2 linked regions of the Cricetulus griseus genome follow. The protein of the gene in region 2 purifies or fractionates together with the protein of the main gene of each other region. This does not show direct contact. Links are inferred from orthologs where the notes say so. Each region holds a gene or a part of one and is shown on either strand. Other genes may lie near its edges. The genes, in order: Inhba and Acvr2b.

Region 1 (4,502 bases), on a different chromosome or scaffold from region 2:
TCATCAACTGCACTCTCTGTTGTACAAATGGTTATAAAGAAAGAAGAAAAGCACATGCCCTTTGCTAGTCTTGAAATATGTAAATGTACTACGTAGAAAAGTAGAATTATTCCAAAAGCAACAATACAGATCTTTACAGTTCATTTTCATATATTTGCTCTCATTAATCAGATGATAAATATGTTCCCTGCCTAAGTAAACTGCTTATGCCATACTCTACACTGCTTGGAGAGTAGATTGTCTATACTATATGTCCTTACTTACAATCTGTGAAATTATATTAAATCAACTTGAAGTCGATGTGTGCTACTTTTCACATGAGAAAATAAGCAACTGTAACAAACACATCATGTTCCTGGACTAGGAGTTTCCACTTAGGAATTTTACACTCAATGTGTGAGTCCAGTGAATCACCGTCGTAAATAGTAGCTCATTTTCTCTCAAACTGAACAACAGAAAAGCAAAAATGACAAGATCCTATATAACTGAGAGCCATTAGCATTGAGAAGGCCATAAGTAAGAAAGAGTGTAAATGGCCCAATTCTTTGCCAAATCTCTAACTGCCAAGCGATGAATTTTCTATACAAGCCCAGAAAATCAGAGGGAAGGATAGAGTGCTGGCAACCACTGTGCAGTTAAACATGGCGGAAGTCATATGTATACTTAGTCACATGATACAGTTAAAACCAAGTTAGTAGAAACTGCAATAGAGGCGACATGGGTGAAGGTTGCATATAAGAACATGTGAGGCCCAGGACCAATCTTCTGAAGCACAGATCCCACTCCCCCACACACCAGCCAATGTTACAAAGATTATCTTTCACCTTCCAATTATGAAAGCTGAAGAAAATTAAGAGGCAACTTAATTCTTTTCTTCAGTCAGGTTCAGAAAATAAAGTCACAGTGACTAAGGTTTGAGGAACTGTATCAAAAAGGATCTGGTAGGTAAGAAAGTAGGACATGGACAGAGCTCACCTCTCTAGGAAACTTCGAGGGTAGCAAGGCTTCTTACAAGGAGGAAGCCACCAAGCCAGCAGCCTATGGGTTCCTACCCTCCCCTCCCCCACAAGGATGCCCAGGTCTTGCATGGCTTTCTCGAAAACAGAACATCTGAGTCAACAGGTTTTCAGGATTGGAAATTTTGAGTGTTGCCTTAATTGTTTATACTGCTGCAGCAAACTTTTAAACAAAATGCTGGGAGTCCCTGCACATACTTTACTAGCCATATGCTGCTATACCAAACAAAACAATGGCATTCCTTTCAACTGTCTTTGGCAAGAGATCCTATTCCTTAGCCTGGCATTTACCATGAAAGTGAAAAGGTATTATTAACCCATCTGTACGCCAGCTTCAACAAACTTATAGACTTGCAGTAAGATCTGTTTCCTCCTAGTGTTATGAGCAGCCAGTTCCAAGTCTAGGGCTTCAGCTTTAGACAGGTATTTTCTACTCAGCAACAGGTTAGTGTGGTCCTGAGTCAATGACTAAAATCTGTTCAAGTTCTTCCTCTTAAGGTTTGAGTAGCTCATCTTGATGAGAGCACACTGTGAAGGTTGCATTCCTTGGCAAAAAGTTCTTAGTAACTTTACAAAGAATAAAACTGGGTTGGGGGGGTGAGGTTCTTTGGCTTTTTGTTGATGTTGTTGCTTTTGTTTTTCTTATTTTGTTTTTATTCCAAAAGCAAGTATGTCAGTGTTCCAAAAGTCATAACTAACCCAATACCCTGGGAGTTGCTCTTTGCTGTTTTGGGTAGGTTGTGAACAGAGGCAGGCTTTCCAGAGGTAAAAATGATTGTCACTCATAAATATGCCCAAGTCTGACTCCGATGCGGCCCCCAGATCAGACATTTAAAACAGATTTGTTTTCAGACAGTGGCTTCATCGGTGCCTTTGCACCCGGCCCCCAGGCACTCTCACTCCTACCCCAGAAAAACTTTGGATGGGGTCCAGATGCTGCCTCTGCACCCCCAAACCCCCAAATGCCCTGCTTTCATCTGGTTGCTCTGATCTGGCTTCCTAGGCAGAGCAGCCAGGAAGCCCCATGCAGACTACCTTACAGCTCCAGACCGGCCCAAGAGCTTCCTCTCTGGGTAACCGCTGAGTTTATTTAGCAAGTGTAAGCTAGCCATTGCGGGGCAGGGCTCCCTGGCAAAGAAGTCTTCTCCCCCTCCTCTGCCTCTCCGGCGCCACCATCACCTAATAACTAATAACCTTCCCGGGCAGTCTCCAGCGGGAGGGAAAGAAGTTCCTGCTAGGACTGTCAACGAAATACATTTCCCTGCCCCCGCCCCCACCCCCAACGCCAGCACCCACCTGACTCGGCAAAGGTGATGATCTCCGAGGTCTGCTCCATGAGTTCATTCATTTCGGCCCTCCTGCCAATGTCGTCCTCTATCTCCACATACCCGTTCTCCCCCACTTTGCCCACATGAAGCTTTCTGATCGCGTTGAGAAGCGCCGCCTTGGGCACCGGCTGGGTGACATCGGGTCTCTTCTTCAAGTGCAGCATGTTTAAGATGTGTTTCTTGACAGCCTCTACCATCTCTGGCTGAGAGTTAGGTCCATCCTTCGGAAGGGTGGCCAGCGCACAGGACGGGCAGTCCGGGGCTGCGCCGTGCCCCTCGGATCCTGGGGTGGGGGAACTCCTCACTATAATCCAGCAACTTGCCAACAGAAATCCTCTCAGCCAAAGCAAGGGCATCCTGGCAGCAAAAGTCGTGTGGTTGCCTTCTTAAAAGGCCCTGCTTTTCCTCCCCCCCTCACGCACAGGTTCTTTTGGACTTTTTTTTTTCCTTCTTCTCTTCAGCAAATTCTCTGGAACAAGAGCAAAAAGTTTTCTGTGAAGTTTTGTTTGCAGGTTCCCTCTCTGAATGCAGTCAGTGCTGTAGGTTTGTGGCTGTCAGGGAGGAGAGTTCTGACTGTCTCCGAGTAAAAGAGAAGGAAGGAGGGAGGGAGGGAGAGAGAGAGGGAGGGAGAGAGGGAGGGAGGAAGGAAGAGACAGGGTGGGGGGGAGACAGAGACTGAGAGAGGATGGGAGGGAGAGAGACAGGGAGAAAGGAGAGAGGGGGAGAGAAGACAGAGGGAAAGGGGGAGAAAGAGAGGGAGAGCAAGGGAGGGGAGGGAGAAAAGGAGGGGGAGGGGAGGAAAGGAGAGAGAGAGAGAGAGAGAGAGAGAGAGAGAGAGAGAGAGAGAGAGCACGGATTGGCCCTAAGTGAGTGAGTGAATGAGAGAGGGAGGGCGGCTGTGTGTAAGGGCTGGGACTGGAGAGGAGGGACAGCCCTTTCTGACAGGCTGCTTTCCTTGCTCCCTCACACACCTCTCTTCAAATCCTACCATTCTCTGGGCATGGGGGATGATTCTTTAGCCCTTTCTGCAATACATGCTCCTAAGGCTCTTCACTTTTGGTCTAAGGATTTCTTTCTTTTTCTTCTACTTTTTCCCCTCTTCTTTTCATCTCTCTCTGCTCAGTCCGTTTCACCTTCCTTCTTTGGAAGAGAAAACCCAAACAAACTGAATGCACTGTCTCCATTCCCTGAGATAACTTGATTGCAAAGTGTGCCCCCAAAGTCCTCTCCCATGGCCTGGCACTGCCCTGGAGTAAGCACGCACCTGACCTTGCTGTGGGGCTGAGGGAAGCCCTCCGTAGATCACACAGGTCAGGGGACTGGACCTGGGACAGAGGGGCTGCCTGAGACAGCTGGTTGTTCTGCCTGACAGAATCCAGAACCATTCCTTTCTGCCATTCATTCATATTTAAATGTCCAGGGTCCTCATGCCAGCAGGCGATCCAATGGGACCTGGAGCGCAGCAGAACTTTTGTCTGGGGTCATATAATACACTCTGCTTTTGCCAACTGGGCACCACAGCAGGGCATTGGAAGCTCCCTTGGGCAAGCAGCATTTTACACACCCTAATCAGAGAAGGTACTCACCTCTCTCTCTCTCTCTCTCTCTCTCTCTCTCTCTCTCTCTCTCTCTCTGTGTGTGTGTGTGTGTGTGTGTGTGTGTGTGTGTGTGTGTGTGTGTGCCCTGCATACACACATATCCACATATTATAGCCCACTGTCCCTTGTCCTGGCTTCAGAGATAAAGCATAGAATTCACTTGGCCTTTCTCACATTCTTTCATAAAAACAGTGTGCTCTTATGGTGTGAATAACTGGTCTACAAGGAAAGAATATCTAAAATATGTTGACAAATTATTTTTCTCTGGCATGTGCTAGTTTTGTTTTGTTTTTCTGCCCCCACCCCTAGTATTAACCATAGCATTCATGGCAGCCTGCTTGGCTGCTTCCTTTCTCTTCAAAGTAACAGCAGAGCTGAAATCATCAAGGATTACAGTGCTCACAGAACAAGACAAATGTGCATTTTAAAACAATGCCTTTCTGAGGCTTTTTTTTTTAATTTTGCACACCCCCTTTTCATTTTCTGTCTTATTGCTTTTATCTTGCAGAAGTATCTTTAAGGCGCCCATCTGTTAAAGCTGTCCTTCCCTCTCGGTTTCT
Region 2 (3,807 bases):
CACCCTACGGAGGGATCTCTGAGGTTGTGGGGAATAAGGTAGGCCCTGATCTCCTTCCCACCCTCACTGTTGCTCAGATACTAAATGTTGGGCCTTTGTGTTTGTGCTTTGTGTACAATTTGATTTGAGATCCAGTGCTCCAAGGCTAGCAGCTGTTTGTGTGTGTGTGTGTGTGTGTGTGTGTGTGTAGTAAAGGGAGGGGGAGAGGGTTCCCCTTCTTCCTGTTGAAGTTTAGCAAATATTTCCCTGGAGCTGTAAGGGCAGTCCAGACTCAGTGGGGTGACTGACAGGAGAGCAGGGTTCTGAGGGCCTGCAGCCTTCTAATTGACCTGCAATGGGTGTGGTTGGGACATAGGCTCCGCCCATTCCCTGGACGCATCATCACTTGCTGCCCTCACTGTGCAGCCCTAACAAGGGTTCTTCCCTCCCTCCCACTCCTCTGCAGGGCCTGGCCCAGCTCTGTGTGACCATTGAGGAGTGCTGGGACCACGATGCAGAGGCTCGCCTCTCTGCAGGCTGCGTGGAGGAGCGGGTGTCCCTCATCAGGAGGTCGGTCAACGGCACTACCTCGGACTGTCTAGTCTCTCTGGTGACATCTGTCACCAATGTGGACCTGCCCCCTAAAGAGTCCAGCATCTAAGCCTAGGATATGAGTGTCTCTCCAGACTCAGTGGATCTGAAGAAAAAAAAAAGGAAAAAAGTTGTGTTTTGTTTTGGAAATACCATAAAACCAACAAACACATAAAATGCAGCTGCTATTTTACCTTGACTTTTATTATTATTATAATTATTATTAATAATATTATTTTTGGATTGGATCAGTTTTTACCAGCATATTGTTCTACTGTATCGCAAACAGCGGACGTGTCAGCAGGCGTTGAGGTGCTGAGCTGTGAGTGCAGAACCAGCGCCATGCTGAAGAGCCTCAGCCACTCCTGTCCTTCGGGATGGATTTTCCCCAGCGTTCTCTTTGTTGTCTCAGAATCTGTAACACAAAGAAACCCATCTCCTGTCTTAGGAAACTCAATGCTGCAATCTCTACTAGAGGAACCCTTGAAGACTGTTACATGGACACACACCCTTCCTCAGAAGAGCCCCCCCCCCTTTATTTTGTGTCTCCCTTTTCAGGCAGTGAGCTTAAGAAATGGCAGATGTGTCTTCATGGATCTAATGGGTGTCATCCTGACCCAGCAGAGGGAAAGCGAGATGAGGAGGGTGGTTTGGAAGGGAGGGTGGTTCTGGGTGGGTTCGGAGCAGAGCTACACTGGACTTGGGCACATATGGAGCAACACCCTTGGCTATGGAGGCTGTTTTCTCAGGTAACAAGGGGTGGAGTACAAGGACCTTATGGGGGCTGAGCAGCAAGCACAGGGTCTGGAGAAAGTTCAAGGGCAGGGCCAGGCTGCCCCACCTGCCCAGGCTCCTCCCACTACCTTGGGCTTGGCTGTGGGTTGGAGGAAACACTGCCTCGCTTGTGCGTATATTGGGACTAGGTGAGGGCGTGGCAGTTTAGCAGACATTCTTCATTAGACACGATGCTGTAGGTCTCTTTTATGGAGGAAATACCAAACTGCAGTTTCCTCTTGGCAGTTTGGGGAAATGCCCATGGTGCCCCCTGCACGGTGTGGGTAGCCCAGAGGATCCCTGGGTGGGGACCTTGCCGGCCTGCAGCTCTGGCTTGGCTCTACGCAGCGGCATCACTGGCTCCTTTCTGAGGCTCGTGAACACGGCTTTCTCCAGACCCTTTAAAGTGGTGCATATTCTAAAGCTGTTTTTCTATTACGCCATAACCTTGCTCCAGGCCGTGAATGTTCCTAATGCTGCTGTCTCGACATTGGATTTTTTTTTTTTATTTATGAAACATGCTAAAAAATTTTTTTTTCAGACAGAACACACACATCCACATATGCACACATACTTTGCTGTGTGGCTTCCGAGGTTGAAATTTTAAAAAGTAAAAGAAGTAACTTCACGACCACAGACCACCTCAAACCAGAAATACCTCAGAATTTTCTACTTGTGTACGTTTTATTAATTATATATTTTGTTAGTCGTGTTGTCTTGTAGGAAGTATATTTTAATGTAAGTTGGCTTTTATGACAAGGAAGTTTAAAAGAAATAGAGAAAAAGAAAAAAAGTCTGTGTCTTCTAGTCAGCACTGCCTTTTTATTTGTGAATATTGTCATCAGCTCTAGGTGGCCATCTGAGCGGAGTCTGGGCGTTCGTCACTCTGGTTTAGACCATATTATGCAACCAGCACATCTTTATCTTGAGGGCAGGCCACTGCCTCCTGGGTTGTCGAGAGGCCCAGGTGTTGTTCCAGAAGTCCCCTGGGTAGTTTTCAGGATGACACCCCTCCTTTACCGTGGCAGACCCAAAGCCCTCAGGCCCACTGCAGCTGGCACTTGAGGGTTAATTCCCTTGGCAGCAGGTGGGCTCTGCAGTGCCTGTAACTGTGCTGTGAAGTCTGGGAGAGCATAGCTCACAGCTGGGCAGCCGCTCCCCTCAGCGTGTTGTGTGGTGCCTGGGGGTGGGGTGGGGACGGTCGCAGCCCTGGGCTTGTTCTTTTCTGTGGGTGTTTGTGCACAGGCCAGCTGGCTTCCCTCTCAGACCTTGGTCTTTGTTTCCATGGATCACTGTGGGCTGGCCGGGTAGTTAGGGGGACATGTACTCTGTTTCCGTAAGCTATGTGTGTCCCTTCCTCCCCTCCCCCATTTGATTTTGTGCTATGTGGTATTTTCTCCTCTCAGAATACTGTTTTTTTTTTTTTTTTTTTCCTAGCAAAACAAGTCTTACAGCAGTTGCTTTTCTTTTCCGCTTATTTCTTTGAGAAGCTTTAAATATTTATTGAAAAGTGCCATATCTGCTTTCTTTAGCTTTCTCCTCAGGCAGTGGGACCCTCTCTCCTCTTGACCCTTAACAAACAAACCACTAAGAAATGCAGCTATTTTGCTGCACGAGTGACCCAGACCCAGCCACACGCTGTGCCAAACACTAAACCCAGCTTCCTTGTGTGTGATCTCGTGACCCTGGGTGGTTTTTCTCTCGTGTGCTGGCTTGGTTGTCACAAGCATCCTGACCTCTGGTGTGGGACATCCCAGTCGTGATACTTTGCAGGCCTGACACCTTTTCTGGGGGCTGTCTTCCCTTGCTGCTGACCCTGTGTCCAGCCACAGCAGTGTCCTTGTCAATCCTCTGTGTCATTATAATGGAGTGTCTGAGTGTCCTGGAAAAGGGAGGGTCTGGGCTGGAGACTGCTTCGAGGCTTCAGGTAACATACCCAGTTGCTCATGGCTGGAAGCTAGGTGATTCTCCAGGGTGTGGCCTGGAAGTTTGGGTGGCCCCTGTTTTTCTTTCTTCTCGTGTTCAGTTGGGTTGTGGGGCCTCTGCCTTGCACTGTCCCACAGATTTCACGTCACTTTCCCTGGATTCCCATCTCCCCTAAGCTTTTTGGAAGCCTGAGGAAGCCCCTGTGTGTGGAAAGTGCTGAGAATAGTCAGGGGAGAGAAATAGCTAGAGACGTCATTCTTCCTTCACTGCATGTAGTGGTCCAGACAGGCTCCATCTATTGCCAGAGATCTCTGTGACTATGTCAGAGAAGGACAAAGCAGGTGAAGAAGACCCTCATTGATGGAATGTCAAGGAAGGCTGTGAGTAGTCTTTAGCACCTGGGCTAACATGGGCTGGCCTGGTATCAGGGCACCAGATGCAAGGGAAAGTGTTGGGCCTTCTGCTCACAAGCCACAGCAAAGGGAAGCTCTGTCTCTCATCGCTAGGCTACCAGACTTGCTGGGTGAGGGCTGGGCC

What was found.
Region 1: the proteins of Acvr2b (region 2) and Inhba purify together in Homo sapiens (affinity purification with western blotting; 3 studies listed by BioGRID and IntAct, with this or other methods). This does not show direct contact. The link is inferred for Cricetulus griseus from reciprocal best matches to the Homo sapiens genes ACVR2B and INHBA.

What each region holds. Positions count from the first base shown.
Region 1 is NC_048596.1:238,811,638-238,816,139, reverse strand, and holds the start of Inhba (inhibin beta A chain), read right to left. Parts: upstream 2,904-4,502; 5' UTR 2,701-2,903; coding exon 2,313-2,700; intron 1-2,312. UniProt on the Homo sapiens protein: Inhibins/activins are involved in regulating a number of diverse functions such as hypothalamic and pituitary hormone secretion, gonadal hormone secretion, germ cell development and maturation, erythroid differentiation, insulin secretion, nerve cell survival, embryonic axial development or bone growth, depending on their subunit composition.
Region 2 is NC_048597.1:226,508,270-226,512,076, forward strand, and holds part of Acvr2b (activin receptor type-2B), read left to right. Parts: intron 1-445; coding exon 446-640; 3' UTR 641-3,807. UniProt on the Homo sapiens protein: Transmembrane serine/threonine kinase activin type-2 receptor forming an activin receptor complex with activin type-1 serine/threonine kinase receptors (ACVR1, ACVR1B or ACVR1c).